Callithrix jacchus: one gene and its partners. The protein of the gene in region 2 purifies or fractionates together with the protein of the main gene of each other region. This does not show direct contact. Links are inferred from orthologs where the notes say so. Each region holds a gene or a part of one and is shown on either strand. Other genes may lie near its edges. The genes, in order: IFT140, TULP3, WDR19, kelch repeat and BTB domain-containing protein 7, SIRT1 and WDR35.

Evidence for each region.
Region 1: the proteins of TULP3 (region 2) and IFT140 purify together in Homo sapiens (affinity purification with mass spectrometry; 5 studies listed by BioGRID and IntAct, counting the BioPlex papers as one, with this or other methods). This does not show direct contact. The link is inferred for Callithrix jacchus from reciprocal best matches to the Homo sapiens genes TULP3 and IFT140.
Region 3: the proteins of TULP3 (region 2) and WDR19 purify together in Homo sapiens (affinity purification with mass spectrometry; 5 studies listed by BioGRID and IntAct, counting the BioPlex papers as one, with this or other methods). This does not show direct contact. The link is inferred for Callithrix jacchus from reciprocal best matches to the Homo sapiens genes TULP3 and WDR19.
Region 4: the proteins of TULP3 (region 2) and kelch repeat and BTB domain-containing protein 7 purify together in Homo sapiens (affinity purification with mass spectrometry; 3 studies listed by BioGRID and IntAct, counting the BioPlex papers as one, with this or other methods). This does not show direct contact. The link is inferred for Callithrix jacchus from reciprocal best matches to the Homo sapiens genes TULP3 and KBTBD7.
Region 5: the proteins of TULP3 (region 2) and SIRT1 purify together in Homo sapiens (affinity purification with mass spectrometry; 5 studies listed by BioGRID and IntAct, counting the BioPlex papers as one, with this or other methods). This does not show direct contact. The link is inferred for Callithrix jacchus from reciprocal best matches to the Homo sapiens genes TULP3 and SIRT1.
Region 6: the proteins of TULP3 (region 2) and WDR35 purify together in Homo sapiens (affinity purification with mass spectrometry; 5 studies listed by BioGRID and IntAct, counting the BioPlex papers as one, with this or other methods). This does not show direct contact. The link is inferred for Callithrix jacchus from reciprocal best matches to the Homo sapiens genes TULP3 and WDR35.

Annotation. Positions count from the first base shown.
Region 1 is NC_133513.1:3,839,824-3,844,762, reverse strand, and holds part of IFT140 (intraflagellar transport protein 140 homolog), read left to right. Parts: coding exon 1-32; intron 33-1,245; coding exon 1,246-1,337; intron 1,338-1,883; coding exon 1,884-1,990; intron 1,991-2,919; coding exon 2,920-3,065; intron 3,066-4,339; coding exon 4,340-4,543; intron 4,544-4,939. UniProt on the Homo sapiens protein: Component of the IFT complex A (IFT-A), a complex required for retrograde ciliary transport and entry into cilia of G protein-coupled receptors (GPCRs).
Region 2 is NC_133510.1:16,258,585-16,262,221, reverse strand, and holds part of TULP3 (tubby-related protein 3), read right to left. Parts: intron 2,179-3,637; coding exon 2,080-2,178; intron 1,687-2,079; coding exon 1,515-1,686; intron 947-1,514; coding exon 813-946; 3' UTR 1-812. UniProt on the Homo sapiens protein: Negative regulator of the Shh signaling transduction pathway: recruited to primary cilia via association with the IFT complex A (IFT-A) and is required for recruitment of G protein-coupled receptor GPR161 to cilia, a promoter of PKA-dependent basal repression machinery in Shh signaling.
Region 3 is NC_133504.1:154,588,142-154,593,080, reverse strand, and holds part of WDR19 (WD repeat-containing protein 19), read left to right. Parts: intron 1-1,612; coding exon 1,613-1,683; intron 1,684-2,538; coding exon 2,539-2,711; intron 2,712-2,795; coding exon 2,796-2,910; intron 2,911-4,015; coding exon 4,016-4,122; intron 4,123-4,880; coding exon 4,881-4,939. UniProt on the Homo sapiens protein: As component of the IFT complex A (IFT-A), a complex required for retrograde ciliary transport and entry into cilia of G protein-coupled receptors (GPCRs), it is involved in cilia function and/or assembly.
Region 4 is NC_133506.1:160,345,886-160,351,595, forward strand, and holds the start of kelch repeat and BTB domain-containing protein 7, read right to left. Parts: upstream 3,346-5,710; 5' UTR 3,047-3,345; coding exon 941-3,046; 3' UTR 1-940. UniProt on the Homo sapiens protein: As part of the CUL3(KBTBD6/7) E3 ubiquitin ligase complex functions as a substrate adapter for the RAC1 guanine exchange factor (GEF) TIAM1, mediating its 'Lys-48' ubiquitination and proteasomal degradation.
Region 5 is NC_133513.1:62,524,585-62,529,523, reverse strand, and holds part of SIRT1 (NAD-dependent protein deacetylase sirtuin-1), read left to right. Parts: intron 1-237; coding exon 238-354; intron 355-2,610; coding exon 2,611-2,852; intron 2,853-4,939. UniProt on the Homo sapiens protein: NAD-dependent protein deacetylase that links transcriptional regulation directly to intracellular energetics and participates in the coordination of several separated cellular functions such as cell cycle, response to DNA damage, metabolism, apoptosis and autophagy.
Region 6 is NC_133515.1:95,301,009-95,305,947, forward strand, and holds the end of WDR35 (WD repeat-containing protein 35), read left to right. Parts: intron 1-2,973; coding exon 2,974-3,217; intron 3,218-3,542; coding exon 3,543-3,693; 3' UTR 3,694-4,380; downstream 4,381-4,939. UniProt on the Homo sapiens protein: As a component of the IFT complex A (IFT-A), a complex required for retrograde ciliary transport and entry into cilia of G protein-coupled receptors (GPCRs), it is involved in ciliogenesis and ciliary protein trafficking.

The DNA of each region.
Region 1 (4,939 bases), on a different chromosome or scaffold from region 2:
CTCCTGAGGGCGAGGCAAAAGAAGTGATGAAGGTGAGTGGGAGCAGGCTCGGGGGCTCAGGCCTCGGGGACAGCCCTTTCTCTTGTGGATAGCCAGCCTGAAAAGCCTATCATCTGTGTTAGGGCGGCCATCATAGCCAGCCGTGTCATTACTGATCACACCACATTCAGCTCATAGGTGAAGGAAGCAAAAGAGATGGAGATTTTCCTGCATCTTTAGGTGGATGTGGGGCCTGATGGGAGACAGCCTGGGCCCACCCGCAAGCTGCACCCTTAATGACCTGGGGTGCAAGTAAGAGAAACACGCTCACTGCACAGCCCCTCATTCCACCTGCAGAACCCAGTGGGTAGGCAACCGGATCCCCAGCTTCCAGCTGGTTTATTCCACAGAAATCCATGTTCCTTGGAGGCCACTAAACTTTCCCCAAAGATGCACTTGCAGATGACAGAGCGGACTTTTCCTCAGTCAGCATTCATTCGGTCCCTTACGTATTCCATAAGGGCAGCTGAGGACACAGGCACTAGTCCCAGGGACCTGGTCATAGGGGCCACCTCAGGCCACCATAACAATCTACCACAGACTACATGACATGACAGCAGACATTTGTCACAGTTCTGGAGGCTGATGTCCCACGTCAGGCAGGCAGCAGGGGCCTCCTCTCATTGTCCTCACAGGGCGGGGAGGGAGAGTAGGCACCAGCCCTGGTGTCTCCTTCCATGGCCACAGCCTCCTCAGGCCAGGACTCACCCTCCCCATGACCTCATTAACCTTAGGTACCTCCTGAAGGGAAATACAGTCACACTGGGGGTTAGGGCTCCCACATAGGAGTTTGGGAGATGCAGTTCAGTCCATGGACCTCTGCTCAGCTCCTCACTGGCTGGTGGGCCCTAGCCAGGCCTGTTCTTTGAGGAACAGGGATGGCAGGCCTGCCCAGATTGTGTGGTTGGACTCAACAGGGAGCACCCAGCTCAACTTAGTGACCCTCCAGAGCACGTCCAGCGATGGCCACTCGCCCGCACCATGCCCTTGGTAGCCATTATTCAATGTGCGAGGGTAGTGGTTTGCTTCAGCCTACACGTCTCCAAAGCCAAGGCCGCCTCTCAGAGTCTCCATCATTCGTCCCTGCGTTTTCCCTGCTTGTTGAGTCTCCATGAAGTAACTGAGCACCAGAGACTCCGGGTCCTGAAGCCGGGACAGGCAGTCTCAGCAAGCACAGTGCCCCTGCCTCCTTGTTTCCTTACACAGGTCAAGCTGAGCGGGAAGACCGGCCACCAGGCAGACATCACTTTGATTGATGGCAGCCTTCTCGTGATGGCCGTCGGGGAGACTGCCCTCAGGTGAGAGTCTGTCTTTCCAGTGCCCCTCAATGAGAATTCCCTACGGAACAGGCTCGTCTAAGGCAGCTTTATGTCGGAATGTAACAGCATATGGACTGTAAAATGCATATATAATGATGACCGCTCACACACTGGACATACCCATTCACCAGCTCCCAGACTGAGGAGCTGAGCGTTAGAGACCCCAGGAATCCCTGCCTGCCCTGCTGCGCTGCCTCTGGGCTCCCCCTACCCCCGGGGGCGCTGCCTAGGTGTCTGCCCCTGGAATCTGTTTTCTTGGTTTTTCGGAGCGTGGCGTAACTAGAGTGAGTCGTGCTGGTCTCTCCTGCTTGCTACATTAGCGCAGTGTGCTACCCGGGTGCTGTCTCATGCTCTGCATGGGGCTGGAGTGCTGTGTTCTTATGGTGACCTCATGCCATACACAAACCATCTTCTATCAGAAGCTGCTTTCTTTGATTATAAACAGGATGTAAAATGCCCTAAATGTAACATCGGTGTTCATTTTCATATCAGGAGTCTTGCGACTTGCTTTCTTTTCCCTTGTAGATTCTGGGATATAGAACGAGGAGAGAATTACATACTGAGTCCAGACGAGAAGTTTGGCTTTGAGAAAGGAGAGAATATAAACTGTGTTTGTTACTGCGAAGTCAAAGGTGAGGCTTCCTGGCCTGGCACGAGAGAAACAGAACCAGCCACAAGTCTTGTGCTCGGGCAGCAAAATAACGGTCGTGAGATTTGGAGGCTACTCCAACAATGGCAACTTGATAGCTTGCAGTCGATCAAATAGTCGGCCAAGGACAAGCAAGCTACAGCAGAGCTCTGTGATCCCACCTACAGGCCAAGGGGTTTGGTCAGAAGAATGACAACCTGGCATCCCAGCACTTCGGGATGCTGAGGAGGGAGGATCCCAGCACTTTTGGAGGCTTGAGTCCAGGAGTTTGAGACCAGCCTGAGCTACGTAGTGAGACTCTGTCTCCACAAAAAATACAAAAATTAGCCAGATGTGATGATGTACAGTTGTGGTCCCATCTACTCAGGAGGCTGAGGTGGGAGGATTGCTTGAACCTGGGAGGTTGAGGCTGCAGTTAGCTGAGATGGTGCCAGTGCACTCCAGCCTGGGTGACAGCGCATGACCCTGTCTAAAAAGAAGCATGACAAACCTATTCCATGCTCATTGATCTCTGTTCGCTCCTGAAATGCCACAGGAAAGACAGTTCAGGAAGTGTGTGTGCACATGTGTGTATGTATGCATATGCACATCCAGAGCACAGGAGCCCAGGAGGTGAGCCGGAGCTGCGTTCTTCCAGTGCCTGCTGAGTGCTGAGCACAGGGCAGCCCTGAGCCAGGTCTTATGGCCTCTGGGAAAGCTGGGAGAGCAGCATCCCCACCACCCCAGCACCAGTACTTTGAGGCCAGGGTGGGAAGGACCTGGGCAGGGCAGAAAGGCACAGCCAGGGACGAGGCGGAAAGGCAGCAGACTGGGCGAGGGCTGATGCTTTGAAGAAGGGGTCAGAGAAGAGAGCTTATTGATGTTGTTTTTCCTTTCCAATTCTGTTCACATGCGGTTTGTTTCTACCTGTAGGTCTTCTGGCCGCTGGCACTGACAGAGGACGAGTAGCCATGTGGAGAAAAGTACCAGGCCTCCTGGGCAGCCCTGGGGCAGAGGGCAGGGACAGGTGGGCCCTTCAGACCCCTACTGAGCTCCAAGGAAACATCACGCAAATCCAGGTACAGCCTGCAAGGGTGTTCAGTGCATTCACTTTCTGCTGCATGCAAGTGGAGGCCATAACTGACTTTGAACCTTTTTTTATTATTCAACTTAAGATTCTGTGCAGATAACAATAATAAGACATTTTAAAAGAGATTTAGGATTTCAGAATTGCAGTGAAGAGATTGTGGACCTGTATTAGTTAATACTGGTCTACCTACCAGCCCGTCCCTCCATCTCCGTCTCTCTCTATATATATATTAAAAAGGCTTTACAGAGATAGAACTCATAATATATACCACGTGGTTTTTGGTATATCCACAGAGTTTTACAAACATCACCGCAGCAAATTTTACAATAGTTTCATCGCCACAAAAAAATCTGTGCCTTTTAGGGGTCACCCATATTTCCCCCTCTCCAGTCCTTGGCAGCCACTAAAGTACCTCCTGCCTCTAAGGATTTGCCCGGTCTGGATGTTTCATGGAAACTGAATCACACAACACATGGACTTTGTGTCCATCTTTTAAGTCTAAATCCCTCCAGATGGCAGCCTGTGTCAGCGCTTCACTCTGCTGTGCACAGACCACGGTTAGTTTCTCCATGCATCCGTTGATGGACATTTGAATAATGCTGTTATGATCACTTGGATACAAGTTTTTGTGTGCGGATGTTTTCATCTCTTCAGCATTTGGTTCTTTCTTAGGGTTTCTCTCTGTTCCTGCTGGGACACTGGCATCGTACCCTCCTCTGCTTCGCCAGGCACGGTTTCCTTTGGTTCTTTCGGCAGATGCGTAGTGGCCACTTTGAAGTCTCTGCTGAGCCCCACGTCTGGGCCCTTTCATAGCAGTCTCTGGTGTCTGGGTTTTCCTGTATATAGTTCATGCTTTCCTATTTGCATGGCTTTTCATTTACTTTGATAGATTTGGAAGTTTCATGTAAAATTATGAAACTGACATTTCACATCAGCGAGCAAAGGCTGGATGGTTTAATCCATTGTATGAATTTCCTGTCCCTATGTCACACTCGGAAAACCTCTAGAAGATGTTCTTCCCATCAGAACAGATTTATAAGTGCTGCCCGTCCAGTCACAACTCCTGAGCATCAGTGTTTTGAAGTCTTTCTACAGAGCACACAGTAGAGCTTTATAAAGCATTTATTGAAATCATTTTCAAGTCTGAAACAATGGTGCCTGGAGAATGGTCTGGGCTCTCGTGTGTGGAAGCATTCCCCTGCTGCATCTTTCTCTTGCTCTGTTCTCACATTTGGTTCTTTCTCTTGCAACCTGGAAATGAAGTGGGGCTCCAGGAAGAACCTGCTGGCGGTGAACAGCGTCATCTCCGTAGCCATCCTCAGCGAGCAGGCCATGTCATCACACTTCCACCAGCAGGTGGCTGCCGTGCAGGTCTCCCCGAGCCTGCTGAATGTGTGCTTCCTGTCCACGGGGGCAGCACACAGCCTGCGCACCGACATGCACGTCAGCGGGGTGTTTGCCACCAAGGTGACTGCCAAGCGGACCCGGGGTTGGAGGAGGGGTCTTCAACACAGACAGAACAACTGCCCCATCGTCAGGTAGTTCAGGCCAGCAAGGGCCCCAGACGGCAGGTTAGGCACCCTCAGTTCCATCCTTAACGAGCTTATTTCCTGGACATCATATTCACAAAGAAAATAGTAATAAAAACAGGCTGGGCGTGGTGACTCACACGTCTAATCCCAGCACTTTGGGAGGCTGAGGTGGGCAGATCACTTGAGGTCAGGAGTTTGAGATCAGCCTGGCCAACATGGTGAAACTGTCTCTACTAAAAACACAAAAATTGGCCGGGCACGGGGGTGCAGCCTTCCTACTCGGGGCCGATGCATGAGAATTGCTTGAACCCGGGAGGCAGAGGTTGCAGTG
Region 2 (3,637 bases):
TACGTGCAGGGGTATAATAATCCAAAAAACTTAGCAAAACACTTTCTGTGCCTATGAGCCCGGCTTGCGGGAGTCAAGGAGAAAGTCCAAAGCTCCGCCACGTGGGCCAGCAGTCCTCATGTCTGCTGGCTGAGCCTCCCCGAAGCCTCTCCTGCCACCTTTTTTTTTTTTTAAAAAAAGTAAACTAAATAGTCAATACTGCCATCTCTCTTGATAATGACAATGACAAAGTGTTTGCACAGGATGTCTACAGGTGTGTACCTACACACTAATGGATCTGAAGTGATATCGCTTCGGGAGGCACTCCTGGGTTGAAAATGAAGGCAATTATCAAATTACTGTCAGTTTTGACTAAGTCACCTCTAGAGTTTATGCTTTCAGCCTTAAATGAAATGAAGACAATTCTATAAAATTCTCACATAATCGATCACAAATGTGATCACAGCCACTGTGACGAAGATTGGTGCCGGCCAATCGGCTGTGAGGGAATGAAGAGAGGAGAGGAACTGCGATGTCAGTCCCTGGTTCTACGGCGAGTTTCTAAGCACAGGAAATCCCACTCTCACTTCAGGACACCCCAATGTGACAAGAACCTCCCTGTGCTAAGCTGTGATCCCTCACCAAGTCTATGAAACCTGGAAAAGGAGTAAGAGAGTGTGTGTGTGTTTTATATACTCAGGGATCATTCCAAAAGGGGCAAACTATTATTGCTCTTCATGTCCTGGGGCAAGGGAAGGGGAGGGAAGGGGAGGCCACGTCTGCTCCTGCAAGCCCTGTGGGGAGAAAGCCCAGCCCCCAGCTTGATTGTTCTCTCATTCACATGCCAGCTTACTGTCAAAGCTAGAAAGCCCGACGGCAAAGGCCTGTACTGCGCAAAGTGGGTAGCTGTAGTCCAGTGTGAAGACATCATCTGCCACACGTCCGAACTGCATAACTATATAGTCAGCTAGAAACAGAAAGAAATCAGGATGTTAGAAAATAATGTGGTTGCACTAGGGGAAAACTTTTTTTCTTCCTTTTCTTAGGGTTTTGCTCTGTTACCCAGGCTGGAGTGCAGTGGCATGACCAAGGCTCACTGCAGCCTTGACCTCCTGGCACAAGCGATGCTCCCACAGTAGCTGAGATAACAGGTGCCTGCCACCGTGCCCAGCTAATTTTTAAATATTTTTTGTAGAGACAGGGGTTTCACACCACATTGCCCAGGCTGGTCTCGAACTCCTGGGCTCAAGCATCTGCCCAACTTGGCCTCCCAAAGTGCTGGGATTACAGCCATGAGCCATGGTGCCAGCTGACTTTTCTGATGTGCTGTAGCATATCTCTCATACTCCTCTCCCCTCCTCAGCACAGTGACTTATAAGTTTTCTCTACAACTGTAGTTTCATCTTTCCAAAAACCCTGTCTCTCCTCCATGAATATCTCCTATCACTTCCTGTCACATACAGGGAATGTACATTTCCCCATCCTGTAAGAGCATCTATCCTCCGCTTCCTGCCCAACCCCTCCTGGAGGCTTACGGTCATTTTTGTGGACTATCTGGAAGTTCTTCACAGATGCCTGAGTGACCCGGCCACGAAAGTTGAGGACATAGGACTGAGTGTCACTGTTCCAGACGGGGGCCTTGTTGTGCAGTTCAATCAGATTTTCCATAGCTTTGTTCTGCCACCTTGATAGCAAACTGTCATGGTTCTGTCCAAAGGGAAAATCATTATTTTGTACTGGGAACTCTAAGAACTCATTCATTCTCAACTCTCTGAGGTAGAAGGTGGAGCAGGAGAATACTTTCTCCATTTCAGAAAGAGTAAACCAGAAGCAAAGAATGAAAGCCAAAAATGAACAGGTTTTTTTTTTATTATTATTCTATATTATCCAGCATTTCTCTTTGTAGACAAAACAGTTTCAAGGCAACGACTTTGCAACTGCACTTATCCTGAGGTTCTCGAGGGGCAGCTCTCCTAAAGAAGTGTATGGGGCCATGCTCCAGTGTGGGGCTCTGGAAGCTCATTTTTTTTTTTTTAATCTCTCTGTATTGTATTACTGTCTTTTAGAGTCCTTTGCTGATTTAAGTATGTTCTTACTCACGTTTCGTGGCTGATATGGGATCTGCTTATGATTCAGTGTCATTCCAGGAATGATCACAGACATTTTCCTAGGACCTTTAAATCCAAGCACGTTCGTTTCCTGGAAGACAGGAAAATAAGGCAGAACTTGGGAACAGGAAAAAAATAGAGACCACATTCTTTTATAACATGAGACTTTCTTCAGAACGTAAGATGCTAACAATATCAGGTGTACTGGCCAGGTGTAATGGCTCACACCTGTAATTCCAGCACTTTGGGAGGCTGAAGTGGGTGGATCACCTGAGGTCAGGAGTTCGAGACCAGCCTATCCAACATGGTAAAAACCCATCTACACTAAAAATACAAAAATTAGAACGCACAGGGGCAGGCACCAGCTACTTGGGAGGCTGAGGCAGGAGAATTACTTGAACCCAGGAGGCAGAGGCTACAGTGAGCCGAGATCATGCCACTGCACTCCAACCTGGGTGACAGGAGTGAGACTTTGTCTCAAAACAAACAAGTGTACCAAAAATAATTTTATTACTTTGCTGTAAACAGAGACTCAAAAACAGCCACCATGCCCGGCTAATTTTTTTGTATTTTTAGTAGAGACGGGATTTTGCCATGTTGGCCGGGCTGGTCTCAAACTCCTGACTTCAGGTGATCCGCCTTCCCTGGCCTCCCAAAGTGCTGGGATTACAGGCATGAATCCCAAGCCAGGCCACCAAGCAGATTATTATTTTTTAAACAAGATCTCATGCTGTCGCCCAGGCTAGAATGCACAGCGCGATCACAGCTCACTGCAGTCTTGACCATCCCAAGACTCAGGTGATCCTCTTGCCTCAGCGCCCCTAGTAGCTGGGACTCCAGGAGCCTGCCACGATGTCTGGCTAATTTTTGTATTTTTAGTAGAGACGGGGTTTCACCATATTCCCTAGGCTGGTCTCTAGTGGGCTCAAGCAATCTGCCTGCCTCGGCCTCCCAAAGTGCTGGGATTACAGGTGGGAGCCACTGCACCCAGCAAAGCCAAGCAGATTATATATGAGAGCTATAGAGGAAAGGTACTTTACATCAAAGTGTGAAGTCAAATGGTTCTCAGGCATGTAGATAAAACCTCCCAAGAGTCAAATGATGTGATTATTTTCAATTTAAGAAAGTTGAGACTTGAATAAAAAAATCCAGCTGAGATGGGTCAGTTCCTTCTTACTTTCTCTTACTCAACAACTCTTTGAATACCTACTGTGTGCCAGGCCATGTGCCAGTGTGGATATAGCAGTGAGTAAAAGGTCACAGGAGTTTACAACTGGTGGAGATGGTTCATTTTCAACAAATAATAAAAGCACATGTGGGTTACAAATGCCACCAGGACACAGACAAAGGATTGTCAACCACATCTAGTGGAGTACATCAGAAAAGACTTTGATAAGGCAAAAGGCAAGAAAGGGGAAAAGGGAAGGCTCTCCAGGGAGGAAAGATGAGTGGTTGGACAAAGGACTGACAGGAGGACTGCTTGGCTAGTGTGATGGGAAGGGGAGGGAGCCACTAGGAGTCTGAAAAGCAAAGGCTACCATATTAGCTCT
Region 3 (4,939 bases), on a different chromosome or scaffold from region 2:
AAAGCAAATAACCCTATTAGAAAATAGGCAAAAGACATGGATTTCACCAAATAGTAACAAATACATGAAAAGATGTTCAACATGATAAGCCATTAGGGAAATGCAAACTAAAACCACAATTACCTATTACTACCCCTCTGATAGAATGGCTAAAATGAAAAATAGTGATAACACCAAATGTGGGTAAGGATGAGGAACAACTGGATTACTCATACGTTGCTGGTGGGAATGCATCATGGTACAGCTACTCTGGAAAACAGTTTGGCAGTTTCTTAAAAAACTAAACATGCAGTTACCATATGATCCAGCAGTTACACTTCTGGCCATTTATTCCAGGGAAATGAGCACCCGCATTCAGATAAAATCCTGTATGTGAATGTTTATAGCAACTTTATTTGTAATAGCCAAAAACTGGAAACAATCTAGATGTCCTTCAGTGGATGAATGGTTCATCCGTGCCGTAGAACACTGCTCAGCAATAAAAAGGAACAACCTATTGATGTACCCAGCAACTTGAATTTCCAAAGGATTGCACTGAATGGAAAAAAAAAAAAACTCAACAGGTGGCATACTGTATGATTTCATTTATATAATGTTCTTGAAATGATAGAATTATAGAAACAAAGAACAGATTAGTGATTGCCAGAGGTTAGAGATGGAGCTGGAGTCAGAAGGAAGGAGGTGAGTGTTTATAAAAAAGCAACATAAGAGATCTTTGTGGTCATGGAACTATCTATCCTGGCTGTGGTTGTGAATCTCATGAATGTCATGTGAGAAAGTTACTAAACACACACACCGAGTACAAGTAAAACCAGGGACATCGGAATAAGATTTGTGGTTTGTATCAATGTCAGTATCCTAATTGTGATATTATACTATGGTTTTTCAAGATGTTACTATTGGGAGAAAGGGGGACCTGAAATCTCTGTATTGCCTCTACAACCACATGTGAATCTAAAAAACTTAAAAGTTCAATTCAATGAAAATAATGAGGGAAAAAATAAGAGGAAAACACTAGAAGGGAAGAGAAGGGAGAAAAGGAGATTAGAAGGAAAGAAATGTTACAACTATTAGGTTCCAACATTGTGCTACACAGCTTTCATTTGCATCCACTTATTCCTATTAGGCCCACATTTTTCAGAGCTTTCAACTTGATCCTTCTGATCCAAATGTAATGCTCTTTCTATACTATAATTCATTTCCTTTTGTATGAAAGAACTCTGGTCAGGGGAGAAGGGGAGCGCATTGTAAAGAGAAGCCTGTATCGTCTTATAATAATTAATACTACTCAGGAAAATATTTTTGTACTCAGATTTCTTCAGGACAATTTTAAGCTCCTTATTTCTGAAGCTATAGATCAGAGATTAAGCCAGGTACAACCTTACCCCCACATCTCTTCACGCAGCAAACAAACAACAACAACAAAACCCAGAAAAATTTAAAGATAAAATATAATGAAGTACAGAAATTCTAATATTTTCTTACCATAAACCAGTAGATCATTCTGTACATCACATTTTGGAGACCAGGTACCTATTCCATGGTTTATAATTTTTTGTGGACTAAAACAGTTTTATATAAAATTATTTTTTAATCTATTTTTGTTTTTCAGCATTAAAATCCAAGACTTGGTTGACTTAAAAGACATGTATGCTATACTCAGCCTGGATGAGGAAAATAAAGGTATTGCTTTTTCTGAAGTAGATTGACATTTTATTCCAGTTACAGAGAGTAAGGCTGTGTTTGTTATTGTGTGATTTGCATTCCTTATAGGAGGAATAAATTTTATGACTCTTCACTAGAGTTTCCTAAAATAGTCTCCTTATTTTACTAATTATGTTGTCATTCTGCTTTACTAGAAAGATATGTCTGCTTTGATCCAGAGATTTATAGTGAATTTTATCCTAATTCTAATGTAAAGTATAAATTCTTACATACAGTCATGCCCCACATAATGTTGTTTCAGTCAGCAGTGGTCCATATTTACCTCCCTTTCTCCCTTCCTTCCTTCCTTTCTTTCCTTCGATAGAGTCTTGTTTGTTGCTCAGGCTTACAATATTATATCTAAACATTGTCTGTGTTTAGATATATTTCAGTGTGCAAATACTTACCACTGTGTTACAGTTGCCTACAGTATTCAGTACAGTACATGCCATACAAGCTTATAGCGTAGGAGCAATAATAGGCTATGCCATACAGCCTAGGTATGTAGTACTCTATTTTGTCTAGGTTTGTGTAACTACACTCTGTGATGTTCACACAACAACAGAATCACCTAATCATAGATTTCTTAGAACATATCCCTGTTGTTAAGTGACATGTAACTGTACTTTCCCTTTGAGCCACAGTGAATGAGCCAATGCTCATATTCTTATGCCAATCCATGGCAAATTTCCTAGTCTAAATAAAAATACTTAAACTGGTAAGGTAAATATTTTAAAATTTTGATGCCTCTGGTAGTTTAAATGAAAATATTTGTTTGCTGCCTACAACTGTATATTGTTTTTGAATAATCATTTATGTTGTCGATTATTTCAGGATTGGGTACCTTGTCCTGGACAGATGATGGCCAGTTACTAGCACTCTCTACCCAAAGGGGGTCACTTCATGTTTTCCTGACCAAGCTTCCTATACTGGGGGATGCCTGCAGCACAAGGATTGCATATCTCACCTCCCTTCTTGAGGTCACCGTAGCCAACCCTGTTGAAGGAGTATGAAAATTGTGTTATTTTTCTTTAACTAATAAAATTAAATTAAGTTTAGCAGTTGATTTACTACGATTTTCTATATTTTAGGAGCTACCAATCACAGTTTCTGTTGATGTGGAACCCAACTTTGTAGCAGTAGGTCTTTATCATCTGGCTGTAGGCATGAATAATCGAGCTTGGTTTTATGTCCTTGGAGAGAATGGCAAGTCTAAATCTAGTTGTTTATTCTTATCTAGCATATAATTTCTGTTCTTATTTGGGAAGTACTGGAAGTTTCTTTTAAGACCAAGTCTTTCACTCTTTTTTATTCACATATTTCATTCTCAGCTTAAATGGTTTTGTAAGTCTTCTAAAAATTTGCATTATTTTTAGAAAGTTTTTATTCTTTACCTTTGCAGTGAAGGTAGCATAGCATAGTGGGTAGAGTATGAGTTTCAGAATTAGAGAGGCCCTGGATTTAATTTCCCCTTCCGCCTCTGTTAGCTAAGTGACTATAGACACATCCTTTACACTTGTGAGCCTTACTCATCTGGAAAATGAGGATACTTCTACTTTTAATGGATCATGAGGAAGATTAAATGAAATAAAATGTGTGATCTCACTTGGCACAGTGACTTTTTTAAGCACGCCTAAACCTAGTGGGTATTTAATAAATGCTCTGTCTCCCATTTTATTCTTTTTTTTTTTTTTTGAGACGGAGTTTCACTCTTGTTACCCAGGCTGGAGTGCAATGGCTCACTGCAACCTCCGCCTCCTGGGTTCAAGCAATTCTCCTGCCTCAGCCTCCTGAGTAGCTGGGATTACAGGCACGCGCCACCATGCCCAGCTAATTTTTTGTATTTTTAATAGAGACGGGGTTTCACCATGTTGACCAGGATGGTCTCGATCTCTTGACCTCGTGACCCACCCGCCTCAGCCTCCCCCCTTGTATTCTTTGAATGATAGCTATTAGCATGTGAGGGAAACCTTGTTTTATTTTTCTTCCCCTGCCTCCTCCCCATCACCTTTACCCAATTCTAGGTCAGATAACCCTCAGGAATAGAACAAACCTGAAAATTAACCTGTTAAACAGGAAATACTATTAAGATTCTTGCCACTTAAGGTTTAATTGTTTTGCATGTGATTTTATTTTCTATTACTTTGTTTCATGTAAACCATATGGAATGTCCGAAGGCAAATTTCTATGGCAACTCAGATTAAAATCAAATTTTAAGTTCAGAATATTTTTGCAAAAGCACACATTTGCAAGTGTGTATGAGATAGTTTTACCAATATTTTAATATGTTGTTTTTAAAAAATTGCTACAGCTGTGAAAAAATTGAAAGATATGGAGTATTTGGGAACAGTAGCCAGTATTAGCCTTCATTCTGACTATGCTGCTGCACTTTCTGAAGGCAAAGTCCAGTTACATTTGGTAAGTATAATTTTGAGACCTGCTAAGTGAAATTATGATGAACAGCCTAATATCTGATTATCATGAATATTGATCAGGAAGCAAAGATACACAGACTAACTAGAAAGCCAGGTATGAGTAAGGAATTAACAAAACCCTTCCCTTTCTATATGAGAAGTTCAGTTGACTTTCTAACCCTGTTCCCCAAAAACCTGATAAATATCAACAGTGCTACTCACAACATAGTCTTTTAGTAAATAATAATAATAATTGCCCTGTTGGTAAATTGCAGCTAGAAGGAACTATAAGTGAACTGTAAGAACATGATGGGATCTGCAGTGTAATAAAAAAATGGGAATGCCATACCTTTGGGCTTCCTGGGAGATGCTGACTCATATTTGGGCGTTTTGCACATGGGGGTCTTTGAAATTATGCCTGCTGAGTTGTTCAAGAGATGTTGGCACCTGTGAAGAGGGGGCTTCTAAATCAGGGCGTCTCTCACATCTGTTTCATGGCTCTTTACATCTGGGAAGACAAAGAGATTAGCAGTTAGATAGCTGCAGAGCCTGCAGTCAAGACCATTCACACTGAGAGGGACACCTGTGCTTCCTTGCTGGCAAGCCGTGCTTCCTGTCTGATAGCTCTCTGACGAAACTGACCTCTGGTAGTCTAGGGAGTCTGAATGTTCAGTTGAACTTGAGAAAACGACACCCCTAAATGTTGTATAACAGGTTTTACTCAAATAAATCTGTGAGTCATTATTATTCTTTACGTTTTAGATAGAAAGTGAAATCTTGGATGCTCTAGAAGAACGTGAGACTCGGCTTTTCCCAGCAGT
Region 4 (5,710 bases), on a different chromosome or scaffold from region 2:
AGCTTATACGTATGTTCTAAACCATATTATCTCACGAAAACAGTAATGAATAAATCACTTTTTGTTGAAGAATCCTTTAGGACAAACACCAAACCTATACAGCCAAAATATTTTACGGAGGCAAATAAACATTTTAAGACAAGCCATGACCAATGGATAAAAATTTACATTACCCAATTATATGTTCAGGAATTGTTCCTCTGACTCAATAAAGCGTGTAATGGGCATGGATTAAAAATACAAATGTAAAAAGCAAGTTACCTTGTGTTTTGTTTTGGTTTGGTTTAGAAGGGTGTGGAATCCTTTTTTTTTACTTTCTGTGTGCTTGTGAGGCCATTCTGCACATTATCAAAATGAAATCACTATTCAGTAACCTTAACATACATATATCCAATTTTTTTCCTTTGTAGAAGAAAACCAAAATAATTTTACAAACTATATTTAACTTAGAATATAAAGAACTGACTAGTTTAAGATTTTGAAAATCTACCACTTTCATTATTTTGAAAGTACTCATCCTTCAAAACGCCATCAACAATCCCTAGTCCAGTTTTCTATTATACAGATTTAAAAGATAAATTCTTTGTGGCACTAAAGAAAACTTAAAAATTAACAGAAGACTGAATTAAAAAAAAAATAAGCCCACTAATCAAAACAGTCCACTGTGGGATGAATACCTGAACCAGGAAAAAGCCTACCAAGCATCCCAACCAATTATATAGTTCTTGTTTGCATATTTTAATTTTGGACTTTCAGCACAGTAAATTATTAAACGGGTTGGTTTCAGGGACTGTTTAAACCCTGTAGTATTTCAAAATGTTACCCTTTCTAAACCAAATCTGTGGTCGTAATCAACCTTTTTTTCCCAAGAAAAAGAGAGGATATCTTTTTAACATACATTCCATAGCAGTAGAAACATCTTAGTGTCTCAAAATACTATTTACAAAGAGCCCTGCTGATCCTGTGCATTTCGCTGAGGTGCTACCTGCACCCAGACTTCATCATCTGAAAAAGAACTTGAACTTCCTGACTCAGAGTCCAGTTCACTGAATCCATCTAAGTCCCATTCAGTACTAGACTCACTCCGTGCATCATCTTCCTCAGTAATGAAACTCTGACCAGGTTCGAGGCAGGAAGGATAAACTCGAGCACAAAGGCAAATAAAGCCAGAGTCAAACTGCAAAAGGCCTAACATGGTACCTATATTAATCCACTGATCTTCCCTAGTATCATACTCATACACTGTCACTCGGTTCTTTTTCCATTGTGGGGTTGTAGAAGTGATGAGCAGCAACTTTTGCTCATGATTGACAATCTGGTAGTTGTGAGTTTCTGAATCCAAAGGAATATTACTAATCCGCCTCCATTCTCCCCTAGCTGGGTTGTAGACCTTCATGACTGGGATGTCACAGATACAATAGATTTCATCATTGAAGACACACGCTTCCTGAAAGTCACTGCGTTTAAGAGAAGCACAGTTTAGCCACATATTGTGGCTAGGATCATAGCAGAGCATGCGCTTACTGTTGACAGCATAAAGATAGTTCTGAACCACTATGAGTTCAAAAGAATAGAAGGAATGAGGGACAGGAGCCACCAATGCCCACTGGTTTCTCTGAACACTGTAGCATTCCACTTCCTTCAATTTAACTCCAGTAATAGGGTCTCGTCCCCCCAAAATGTAGATGTAGCCATTGAGGTATGCCACATCCATGCCCTCGCGACACAGCAAGCGATCTGCAAGTTGCTGCCAACTATTCTGAGCTGGTTTATACACCCAGAGGTCTTTCCTGGGCTGGGCAGCTAGGTAGATGTCATGATCTGGGGAGACACAGACAGCTGAGGAGGTGATAGTCTTAGTGTGAGCAAAGCTGGTTAAAGGTGACGGCATTGTGTAAATGTCCCCCGAGTAAGGGTCATAGCAGAGAAACGGATCTCTGGGGTGTCCAAAGAAGATCACCATCTCCTTGGCACACATACCCAGCCTCTGAGGTGGATTTTCTGCTGCAGGTACAACAGAGTTGTTGTTGCTGCTGTTGCTGCTGCTGCTGCCACTGCTGCTGCTGCTGCTGCCGCTGCTGCCGCTGCTGCTGCTGCTGTTTGGCACTGGCACCAGAGACTTGTACAGCAGGTCGCCATAGCGCATCTGCAGGGCCCCTTCAACAACGCCCAGGCAGTACTTCCTCACTAAGGACTTGCTCAGCAGCCCTTCTAAGTAGTCCTGATCTTCCTCAGTGAAGTGCGTCCAGCGCACGCACTTGAAGACTTCTGCAGCACTGGGACCCCGCTCTTTAGGAGCAGCCTCCAGCCACTGCACTGCTACGTGGCACACTGTCCGCTCACTCTCCACGTCCAGACTATCCAGGCGCAGAACAGCCAGCAGCTGGGCCAGGGTCAGATCTGCTAGAGTCTCCTCCCGAATCGAACCCATTCGGCTGAGCTGCTTGAAGTTGTGAGCTATATAGGACTGGGCCTGAGACCTCAGCTTGTGATGGTCAAAGGCGTCTGCAAACTTGAGGATGGCGGTGCAGTTGGTCAGGTCCAGGCGTCGGGCTAAGAAGGAGGCACAGGCTTCCCGCACGTACTCCAGCTGCAGCATGTCCGAGGCCGCGTACAGGCGCTGCACGTTGGCCTCACTGAGCGACACACGACCCGTGTAGCAATAGTCCACCAGCACCTCGAAGGACTCGGCGTCCACGTCGTGCATGGTCACGCTGGCCTGCTGGCTCTCGTACATGCCACCTGTGAACATGCTCTTGAAGTAGGGACACGCAGCTGCCAGCACGTTGCGGTTGCAGGAAAAGAGGCGACCCGTGCCGGGCCCGCTGCCGGGCGTTACCACCTCGATGGTCACATCGCACAGCAGCCGCGCGTCGTAGAAGGACTTGAGCTGGGCCAGGAGGGCTGCAGAATGGGCCGTGTCCTTTAATTCCTCTGGGCCCGTGAAAAAGGCCGAAACCGAGGGCTTGGAAATCCTCTTGGGCCGCCTCCCACCGCGGGGACTGGCGAGGCGGCGAGAGCGCGGGGCGTCCTCCCGGGACTGCATGATGGAGATGGCGACGGGCGCTGAAGGCGAGAACGGCTGCAGGACCCGGCTCTGGCTCCTCCTCACCCTTCCCTCGCTGACGCTAACACAAGCCGCTTCCTGGAACAGACTGCGGCACGGACCTGACTCCTGAATTCTGCCTACCCCGCGGTGAGGCCTCCCTTTATCGCGTAGACAGTGGCTGACTCACCCTCTCTCACTTCCGCGCCCTTTCTCCGCCTCTGCTCGCGTTCACAGGACCCGCTGGCTGGGAGCCGCGGAAGCCCCACTGCCGCGCTGGCGATCCCGCTAGGCGCCCTGGAGAACTACGGTTCCCGGGTTGCCTTTCGCGCCCCGAGGCCTGCTGGGGCTCTCGGACAGCCGGGCCAAGACCGAGGAAGGAAACCGCTTTGCATGTTGGGAGTAGTAGTTTGTGAAATATCGCGAGCTTTCCTTTCGTTGCCTGCTCTAACAGAAGTAGAAATTAATACTCCGGGATTTGATGGTGAAGAACGAGGTCTCACTATTGTTGCCAGGCTGGTCTCGAACTACTGGGGGCTCAAATGATCCTCCTCCTTCGGCCTCTCAAAGTGCTGGGATTACAGGCGTGAGCCACTGCGCCCTGCCAATATTTTACAGGGTTTTGTGGGGTTGAATGATATGTTACATAGGATGCTTAAATATGTGTATTTTTTTATTAGAAGAATAATTAATAAATCACTACCCCGTGCCTAGAATGTAATCAATAATTGTTAGATTCTCTTTTATAATTTATGATAAATGAGGCACCCGCTAATTTGAAACCAAGTATTTTTTTTAAAACTGCAAAACGTTACAAAGCTTCCAATTTTTAATTTTTATTTTTTGAGAGGTTCTGAAGAGTATTAATATTTTCAATATTAAATGATGTATATTGGTCTCATTTAACAAGAATGTCTTAGATGGTTAGGTTGAGGTCCTAAAGAGCAGTATTAATAGATGGCCTCAAATATGCAAATTGAGCATATACAAATAGATGATTTGCTGCTCTCACTAACATTTCATCTCTGCAGAGCAAGAGTATTTTCATTAAGCTGCAAATGTAAGTGTGTTCAAATTGAATAATACAGCCTCTTTCTTTTTTTTTTTGAGATGGAGTTTAGCTCTTGTTACCCAGGCTGGAGTGCAATGGCACGATCTCGGCTCACCGCAACCTCCGCCTCCTGGGTTCAGGCAATTCTCCTGCCTCAGCCTCCTGAGTAGCTGGGATTACAGGCATGCACCACCATGCCGGCCTAAGTTTTTGTATCTTTAGTAGAGACGGGGTTTCACCATGTTGACCAGGATGGTCTCAATATCTTGACCTCGTGATCCACCCACCTCGGCCTCCCAAAGTGCTGGGATTACAGGCGTGAGCCACCGCGCCCGGCCAAATACAGCCTCTTTCACTGCCATTCTACAAATCAGTTAACAGACTCTGCAATTGCTTTCGTAGAGAAGTTTTAGGGAGAATTTTAACTCAAAACATTTCAACAGACTTTGTTCTGTACAAAAGCACATGATTCTCAGACTTCAGCATTCATACATGCCCTGACGTTCCTTGAATTAATACACAGTATAGTCTATGCTTTACAAAACTATTTAATATATGCGTTGATCAACAGCTAAATCATCAAAACCAAGTATTAGAGATTTGAGGCAGGAAAATAGGGCCTGGAGGCCGGGAACATAGGCCGATGCACACCTCAGCTCTAACAGGAAGTATCCTCTCCACAGGGTGTATGCCGAGCAAATGGCTGTAACTTTACCTCATTCTCTTCATTTACATAGGGCATACAACAAGTAACCAGTGGAATCCTCCGGAGGGTCTTTAAACCTCTAGAAATGCTGTAACAGGGCCCTTGAGCCCCAATGGAGTGTACTTTCATTTTCAACAAATCTTTGCTTTTGTTGTTTCATTCTATCCTTGCTTTGTTTATGAGTTTTGTCCAATTCTTTGTTCAAAATGCCAAGAACTTGGGCACCCTGCACTGGCAACAGATAGACTTTTAAAGATCACTTTTATTTAAAAAACAGTGACCGCTCCTGGTGCTGGTTTGTTATGTTACCATAACCAAATAAATAAAATCATCCGTATTACAATGCATGTGTGGATAACACATCACAAGAGAATAACTTCAAATTGTTCTTCTCTTGGCTGAAGAGTATCCGCTGGAAATATTCTAGGGTAGACACATTAAGTCAGCCTCTGGGCTCCAATATCTCCTCTGTAAATAAAAAGAGATGTTAGATGTCCCTGAGTTACACCAGAGAGAATTAAGTCAGTCATTGCCAGTAACGCCAATTGTTTCCTCACTTGTAATGAACACCAGCCGGGAATAAAAAGCCTTTTTTATTATCTTTTGAGACGGGTTCTTGCTCTGTTACCCAGCTTGGAGTGCAGTGGCGCCATAATAGCTCACTGCAGCCTCGAATTCCTGGGCTCAAGCAATACTTCTGCCTCAGCCTCCCAAGTAGCTAGTACTATAGATGCATGCCACCACGCCCAGTTAATTTTTAAAAAAATGATACATGGGGTCTCACTATGTTGCCCAGCCTGGTCTGGAAATCTTGGTGTCAAGCTCTCTTCCCGCCTGAGCCTCCAAGTTGCTGCAATTACAGGCGTGAACCACATGCCCAGCTCAGGAATGGCCATTTTGAAAAAAC
Region 5 (4,939 bases), on a different chromosome or scaffold from region 2:
AGTAGACTTAATTTATTTTTAGATTTTGGCCGAAACTTTTAGAGTCAGAGCAGAATTCCTAAATATGAAGAAACTGTACCTATGAGAAGTGCAAGCCGACCCCATAGCATTTACACATACAATATAAATGTTAAATGCTTAATGAAAATGATTACACTATAACCCTTTATGGGTCTTCATACATATTAGGTGCACATTGTTTTGGTAGTCTTGGCTGACTTTTGGTTTGTTTTGCAGATAACCTTCTGTTCGGTGATGAAATTATCACTAATGGTTTTCATTCCTGTGAAAGTGATGAGGAGGATAGAGCCTCACATGCAAGCTCTAGTGACTGGACTCCAAGGCCACGGATAGGTATGGCTCAGAGCTGTTAACTTAAGAGAGTAAATGTATGCTTTTTGTTGTTGTCCTTGTTGGTTTTTTTGAGACAGTCTCACTCTGTCGCCCAGGCTGGATGGAGTGCAGTGGTGCAATCTGCAACCTCCACTTCCTGGGTTCAAGCAATTCTCCCGCCTCAGCCTTCTGAGTAGCTGGGCTTACAGGCACCCACCCCCATGCCTGGCTAATTTTTGAGTTTTTTTTTTTTTTTTTAGTGGAGACAGGGTTTCACCATGTTGGTCAGGCTGGTCTCAAACTCCTGAATTTGTGATCCGCCCGCCTTGGCCTCCCAAAGTGCTGGGATTACAGGCATGAGCCCTTGTGCCCGGCCTTTTTTTTTTCTTCATCCAGTTAGACTGTCTTTCTCACTTACTTCATATTTCTTGTTTTTTTCACTTTTATACTTATCACTTCTCAACAAGTGCTATATCTTACATTGTATTGTTTCCTGGTCTAGAATATGTAAGTTTCACAGGAGCAGGAATTTTTTTTTTTGTTGGGGGGGGAGGGGTCACGAAGTTTTGCTCTTCTTGCCCAGGCTGTAGTGCAAGGGCGCGATCTCAGCTCACCGCAGTCTTCGCCTCCCTAGTAGCTGAAATTATAGGCATGCGCCACCACGCCCGACTAATTTTGTATTTTTAGTAGAGACGGGTTTCTCCACGTTGGTGAGCCTGGTCTCGAGCTCCCAACCTCAGGTGATGCGCCTGCGAAGCCTCCCAAAATGCTGGGATTACAGGTGTGAGTCACTGCATCTGGCCAGGGATCAGGTATTTTCGACTGACTTGTATACTGTTGTTTTGTCAGTGCCTAAAATGTGCCTGGCACATAGTTTGTGCTCAACAAATATTTAATAAACGTGAGTAAATATTTAATAAATATGTGAATGAAATGGGAAAATATTTTGTAATAGAAAGCATTTTTAGATTTTTATACCAAAGGTAATAACATAATCATCTTGAAAGTGGATCATCTTTTTTCTTTTCTTTCTTTTTTTTTTTGAGATGGAGTCTTTGTCTCTGGAATGCGGTGGCCAACCTTGGCTTACTACAACCTCTACCTTCTGGATTCAAGTGATTCTTATGCCTCAGCCTCCTGAGTAGCTAGGATTATAGGAGCATGCCACCATGCCCAGCTAATTTTTATATTTTTAATAGAGACAGTTTTGCCATGTTGGCCAGGCTGGTCTCGAACTCCTGACCTGAAGTGATCTGCCCCTCTCGGTCTCCCAAAGTGTTGGGATTACAGGTGTGAGCCACCTCTCCCAGCTGAAAGTGAATCTTTACAAATGGTTTGATTATTTAAACAGTAAAGATTAGTTTCTCTTTGGTGTCTGTAGTTTTATTTAAATATATATATATTTTTAATCAACTAGGGAGCTGATTTCAGCAATTTCAGGGTAAAAGAAAATGATTAGGCTGGGTATGGTGGCTCACGCCTGTAATCCCAGCACTTTGGGAGACTGAGGCGGGCAGATCACCAGGTCACGAGATCAAGACCATCTGGCTAACACAGTGAAACCCAGTCTCTACTAAAAGTACAAAAAAAAAATAGCCAAGCTTGATGGCACGTGCCTCTAAACCCAGCTTCTCAGGAGGCTGAGGTAGGAGAATCGATTGAACCTGGGAGTCGGGAGGTTGTGGTAAGCCGAGATCGAGCCATTGCACTCCAGCCTGGGTAGCAAGAGCGAAACTCTTGTCTCCAAAAAAAAAAAAGGAAAAGAAAATGATTAATTCTCAGAACAACAACATCGTATGTATTATCTTGCAAGATTAGTTAAGGTCAAATTGAAAAATTACCGGAAAAATAATTAAGCTGGCAGTTATGTATAGGTTTTCATTTCTTTTTCCTGTGTGGTTTTAATGGTAAGTAGTATAGGCTTTTAGGTCTGGTACGATCTTTTCTGTGTTGACTTGTAGCAGCTTTTTGTAAATACTTTTGTGTTATTGTGGTGTATGTTTCTAGATTTTAACCATAAGAACTTAATTTTGGTTGTTAGGTTCTTAAAGTATGTATTTAGAGCTCAAGGGGGTCTCCCAACTCTGATTAGATCTTCCTAGTCTCATTGGGATATAGCATTAATTATGAGTGTGTACTAAGAATGAAAGACCATTAAATTACATTTTCTTTGCAAAAAATTCTCACAGATTGCTAACTCATTACCTCAGAAAATAAATGAGATTGTGAATTATTTGACAAGTTGACTTGATCTAAGTCTTTTCCCTCTTATTGTAGGTCCATATACTTTTGTTCAGCAGCATCTTATGATTGGCACAGATCCTCGAACAATTCTTAAAGATTTATTGCCGGAAACAATTCCTCCACCTGAATTGGATGACATGACACTATGGCAGATTGTTATTAACATCCTTTCAGAACCACCAAAAAGGAAAAAAAGAAAAGATATTAATACAATTGAAGATGCTGTGAAATTACTACAAGAGTGCAAAAAAATTATAGTTTTAACTGGAGCTGGGGTATGTAAGACTAGTAAATGGGGGAAGTGGTAAATGTATTTTCTTATGCCTTTTCCAAGTAGGAAACATTTTTCTGGTTTAGGAGGATTTATCCTTACATGATAATGGATGTTTGGAAACTGCCAAAAACTGAGTGTAGCAGCAGTTGCTAAATTAGTTCAGATTTTTTAAACCTCTCCAACAGCCTTTAAAAAAATTTGCTTCTGCTTATTTATAGCACAGTGGGTAAATGGAATTAAAGCAAGATTTTTACCTACATTATATCACAGCTCGTAAAGGAGATGCAGGGAATTGAAACTCTGCTTTTATTAAGGTATGTCAGAGTCTGAAGGAGAAATTGAATATTTGTTTGATTTTTATGAGAAACTGGAAATCTAGTTGGTATTCACAAGTGAAGAACTTAATGTTGGGAAGATAAGAGATTCCTACCTTCCCTCCATTTTAAATTAAGATGATAGGATTGTGGCGGCTTGACATTTTCTATTTCATCTACCTTAGGGTCTCAGCTAATTTGTTACCTAAGGCTATTGCACAGTGTGTATTTCATACAGGATATATTGCATGTTAGCAACCAGAGCAACTGCTGTAGTAAAATTTTGTCCTGTTTTCTGCCATTTCAAATTGTGAAAAGGTGTTACATAATCTTAAATGATCATCAGGAGTATGTTTTGCTGACAGATAATGATGTAGACAAGTTTGTTTAACTTACCTTAAATTGACCTTGACTCCAGGTCAAATTGGAGTCTACTCTGGTAAGATGATGAAACAATAACTTCTGAAATCTCTATTTGAAATGTCAGGATTTTTTGTATGATTAGTATATAAATCTGTTCTTAAAGAAATGAAGAATTGAAATATTATACAGCCTTTTAAAAACTTTTCTGAGGCAGGGTCTTGCTCTGTTGCCCTGGCTGGAGTGCAGGGGTGCCATCATGGCTCACTGCAGCCTCAACCTGTACTGGCTTATACAGTGGTGTTTTTTTGTTTTGTTTTGAAACAGAGTTTTGCCCTATTATGCTCCTATAATCCCAGCTTCCGGCTATTTTTTTGTCTATTTTTTTGAGACGGAGTTTCGCTCATGTTACCCAGGCTGGAGTGCAATGGCGTGATCTTGGCTCACCGCAACCTCTGCCTCCTGGGTTCAGGCAATTCTCCTGCATCAGCCTCCTGAGTAGCTGGGATTACAGGCACACGCCACCATGCCCAGCTAATTTTTTGTATTTTTTAGTAGAGACAGAGTTTCACCATGTTGACCAGGATGGTCTCAAATCTCTTGACCTCGTGATCCACCCACCTCGGCCTCCTAATGTACTGGGATTACAGACTTGAGCCACCGCGCCTGGCCCTTTTTTGTATTTTTAGTAGAGACGGGGTTTCATCATGTTGGCCAGGTTGGTCGCGATTTCCTGACCTCAGGTGATCCACCTGCCTTGGCCTCCCAAAGTGCTGGGATTACAGGCATGAGCCACTGTGCCTGGCTATTTTTTATGAAAATAGAGAAATGTAGTAGTAGTGCGGTGATAGAACCCTAACTATAGGAACGATTTCTTTGGAATTAATTGTCTGTAATAGAAATTCTTGGCTAGTGCAGTGGCTCATAAATATAATTCCAGCACTTTGAGAGGCAAAAGTGGGAGGAACACTTGAGCCCGGAGTTTGAGACCACCCTGAGCAAGAGACCCCCCGTCTCTACAAAAAATTAGCCTGGTATGCTCATGTGTACCTGTAGTTCCAGCTACTCAGGAGGGTGACGTGGGAGGATTGCTTGAGCCTGAAAGGTTGAGGCTGCAGTGAGCCATGATGGTACCGCTGCCCTCCAGCCTGGGCGTCAGAGTGAAACTGTCTCAAAAAATAAAAATAAAAATTCTTCCCTACTTAAAATAATTTGTTGATGGTTTACTCCCTTTTCAGGTTGCATTTGCATTAATTTGTTGGTTAAACGCTTAAAAGGTTTAAAATTAGCCTGAGAAAAATTTCTTATCTGTGTTAAAGGTGGAATATGAGGTATGTTTAATCATACTCAGTTATTTGGGAGTTTTATTTCTATTTGAAATTAGGGTAGGGTTGTATTTTTGTTTCTTAAAAGG
Region 6 (4,939 bases), on a different chromosome or scaffold from region 2:
TTACTTAATCTTTCTAAGCTTCAGTTTCTCTTTGCGTAAAGAGAGGATAATAGTATTTTCATCATGTAGTTCTTTTAATGATTGAGAAGTTCACAAAAAGAAAACTCACTTATTACGCTGCCCGCTGCCTGGACTTCGTGAGCTCTCAATAAGTGGTAGCTGCGATGATGATATGAATAGAGTATTTTTATATCGTCATATCAGTCTTTTACTTTATATTTTTCTTTCAGGAGCCATGCTTAGGAATTCCTTTAAGTTTGTTAAATATTGTTTATTATAACAGTTAAGTTATCCTGAAACCATGTATCGAGCTTATTCTTTCTTAACAGATTTGAAATTCTACCTTCATGAAACTAAATTTATACATATTCTTAATCTCTTCCTATTTTCTATTCATGTATTTCTGTGCCACTACTGGCTTCTTTACTTTTACATTTTAATATCTGGTATTTAAATGCACCTTCATTATTCCTTTTTAAAAAATATTTTTTGAATGTTGTCTTGTATTTGTTCATTTAGATCAACTTTACAGTCTTTTTTTAGGGTTGGAGAGGTTTTAATGAAGTCCTATTGGATTGGATTAGAATTGCATTAATATTAATATTGGACTTATTTTTTATTTCTTTTTCTTTTTCTTTTTTTTTTTTTTGAGAATGAGTCTTGCTCTGTCGCCCAGGCTGGAGTGCAATGGTGCAATCTTGGCTCACTGCAACCTCCGCCTCCTGAGTTCAAGCAATTCTCCTGCCTCAGCCTCCCGAGTAGCTGGGATTACAGGCACGCGCCACCGTGCCCAGCTAATTTTTTGTATTTTTAGTAGAGATGGGGTTTCACCATGTTGACCAGGATGGTCTTGATCTCTTGACCTCGTGATCCACCTGCCTCAGCCTCCGAAAGTGCTGGGATTACAGGCATGAACCATTGCATCTGGCCTATTGAACTTGTTTCTGTGTTTATAAGTTTTCTCATTCAGAAGCATCATTGAAAATTTTTTGTTTTTTATGGATACATAATTGTACATATTTATGGGGTACAGGTGATATTTTCCTACATATAATGTGTAATGCTCATATCAGGGTAAATAGGATATCTGCCATCTCTATCACCTCAAACATTTATGATTGCTTTGGGAACATTATAAATCTTCTCTTCTAGCTGGTTAGAAATATACAGTAAATTCATGTTAAATATAGTTAGCCTACTGTGCTACTGAACCCTAGAGCTTATTTCTATATCCATTAAGCAACCTCTCATCATCACCCGTACCCATCCCAGCCTCTGGTATCATCAGTCTATTCTACTTTCATGAGGTCAACCTTTTTAGATCCCACATATGAGTGAGAACATGTGATATTTGTCAGAAACATCCATTTTAAAAATCACTTGTGGCCGGGCATGGTGGCTCACGCCTGGAATCCCAGCACTTTGGGAGGCCAAGGTGGGTGGATCACGAGGTCAAGAGACCGAGACCATCCTGGTCAACATGGTGAAACCCCGTCTCTACTAAAAATACAAAAAATTAGCTGGGCATGGTGGCACGTGCCTGTAATCCCAGCTACTCAGGAGGCTGAGGCAGGAGAATTGCCTGAACCCAGGAGGCGGAGGTTGCGGTGAGCCGAGATCACGCCATTGCACTCCAGCCTGGGTAACCAGTGAAACTCCATCTCAAAAAAAAAAAAAAAATCCCTTGTGTATCTGTGTTTCTGAAGATTTGTAGCTTTCTTCTTGCAGGCTCTAAATGTTTATTTTTCAGTTTATTTCTAATTTTGTTGTCATTAACAATGAGGTTGAGGTTGTAAAGTTTTTTTCCTAATTGGTTATTAGTTATATATAAAATTATTTTTTATTTTAATGTTTATTTTATAACTTGTAACTGCTATCTGACATAAATTATACACTATTTAAAATAGTTGTATTATATACAATTTGTATACCATTTCTAGACTTAAAAGAACAATTAGATCTTTAACTTGAGATGCTTCACCTACTGGTGAAGATCTCTATTTGCCCCCCCCCTTTATTTTCTCAGTGGTAAAATGATCTGAAACAATGTACCCCCTGTAAATTATTAACCTTGAACCTATTGTCTTTTGGGTGTGAAATTAGAGGATATTGTTTATTGTAACTGAATGGTTACATTTTATATACATTTCTTCTACTAAACTTTGTTGTAAATACTTGACCCCAGACCAGTTTATAGGATTCTGATTGTAAAACACAAGAATATGTTGTTTTAAGCTTGTTTATGAAATTTTTGATATACTATAACAAAGTATTTTAAAGATTTTAAGGTCTAGAGAAGAAAAAGATTCAAATTGGTTACAAATCTAATATTAAGTCTATAGTGCATTTTAAAAAAAGATTGTATTTCCAGTATAATTGCAAAGAAGATGTTGTAACTTGAATTATCCAAACTGACAACTTGGAGACTAATTTTCACTTTTTCTCAAAATCCCTGTGTTTCTGTGGGACAAACAACAAAGCAATAATACGAAAGCAATATAATCTGTCCAAAGAAACACAAAGAAAAAAACATACGATTTTATACTGTTTTGCTTTTTTTTATTAACAAAAGGAAACATGGTATTATCTTACAGTTTATGACTGACATAGTATAATACTTGCTTTTTCTGAAGTGCCATAGAACTTTCTAACATAATCGAAGAAAAGGTGGGTGTTTTGACACCAAAATTGTTCGTGTGTGTGTGTGTGTGTGTGTGTGTATTTCTGAGTTGGCACAGGCATGTGCAGCATTTGGTGGTGGCTCTTTTCACAGGCTGCTGAGCTGTTAGCCAGCTTCACAGAACCTTGGATATCATGTAGCCTAGTTCCTCCTCCTAGTGCTCCCATCTCTCAGCACTGTTTGCTTTCAGTCTGTTAGTTCATGCAAGTTCAATGAAAACACCTTAACTGAGATTCTTCCTTATGCATATTCATAATTATTTTAAATAACCCAAATTGCCCTCTTTTTCTTAGCTTTTCACCTGAAAGACTATGAAGACATCATCCCTGCTGTGGAGATCTACTCTCTGCTAGCACTCTGCGCATGCGCCAGCAGAGCCTTCGGGACTTGCTCAAAAGCTTTCTTAAAACTTACTTCTTTAGAGACTCTCAGTTCAGAACAGAAACAGCAGTATGAAGACCTCGCTTTAGAAATCTTCACCAAGTATACTTCAACAGACAACAGAAAATCTGAATTGTACGACAGCCTTATGGAAGGGTAGGCTAATTTTAATTAGTGGATGTCATTCTGCCTTATTAGAAGCTTGGATTTCTAGATGTACAATGTTTAATGTAGGACTTAAGCACTAAATTTTGAAGCAACTTACATTAACATTATACCCTCCTTTATTCTTACAGCTGTATTTATACTTTATTGTTTCATCGTAAGAAAGTGTTTTTCTTGAGAACAGTTTTTGAAATGACAGTAATTGACATTAATCTTGAATTGTTTTATTCGTTATTTTTTAAAGTATATTAAATACATTGTTAGATTAATTAGAAGTTTTAAAGTGTAATGAATTGATTCTTGTCTTATTTTACAGTGGAGAAGGGAAACTGCCAACATGCGTTGCCACGGGAAGCCCGATCACTGAGGATCAGTTCTGGATGTGTGGTGTATGCAAGCACTGTGTCCTTGCTCAGGCAATAAGCCACTATAGCTTCTGCCCCTTATGCCACAGTCCAGTGGGATAAAGGAATGATGACCTGTATATCACTGTAAAATATATGTAGCAAACATACATAGCAAGAACTGTCTATGTAATAAGGTTTATTTCTATGAGTTTTGTATCAAAATCAGCCTCATTATTTATAGTTGAATTTTTGCACAAAATATGTTAATATAATTTTTTTTACAGAAATACAACTGTGAAATAAGGCTGATTTTCATATAAAATGTATGAAAATCAACCATATTTTCTCTCTCTTTTTCTTGTATTTGATTACATGATACCATGGGAATATTCCAAATAAATATTTTTTCTCACAGTGTCAAGATAACTTAATTCATTGAAAAATCTTAAAGGGAGTGAGAAATGGGGGAAGCATGGGAATGGGAAAAAGTTGAATTTAGAGAATTTTTATAACACATATGACTAGGAAGTTAATTGTAATAGTGAAATGAGCTCTCTCTGTAGCTGTATTTAATGAAATAAGCATCGAATGTCTTCTTTGTTATATTTTCAGAAGTGAGGTGATGGCATTTGAAGAATTTTCTTTACAGTTTGAATTGCTTCTAGTAGCCCTATTCTTCTATTTTAAAATCTGTCCTAAAAATCTCATTCAAGAGATGGCATTTGGAATTTACACTTTCATACTATTGTGCAGAAAACTTTGCTCTATTTATAATGAAAATAAACAAAAGTATCAATTTTGTAGTTATAGCTTCTGTTGAAACATTGTTACTAAGCTGGACCCTTCGTTTATACAAATATTGCTGAGGGAGTGATTCTTTCTTGATATGCATCTGTTTTCTTTCTCTTTCTTTCTTTCTTTCTTTCTTTCTTTCTTTCTTTCTTTCTTTCTTTCTTCTTTCTTATCTTTCTTTTCTTTTCTTTTTTCTTTCTTCTTGAGATGGAGTTTCGCTCTTGTTACCCAGGCTGGAATGCAATGGCGCGATCTCGGCTCACCGCAACCTCCGCCTCCTGAGTTCAAGCAGTTCTCCTGCCTCAGCCTCCCAAGTAGCTGGGACTACAGGCACGCGCCACCATGCCCAGCTAATTTTTTGTATTTTTAGTAGAGATGGGGTTTCACCATGTTGACCAGGATGGTCTTGATCTCTTGACCTCATGATCCACCCGCTTTGGCCTCCCAAAGTGCTGGGATTACAGGCATGAGCCATCGTGCCTGGCTCATTATTAATTTAAAAGATAAACAGTTGTGATCTGGAATGGATCATTTTTTATGTCTTTTATATAGCCAATAATGTTCTCTGTTTATT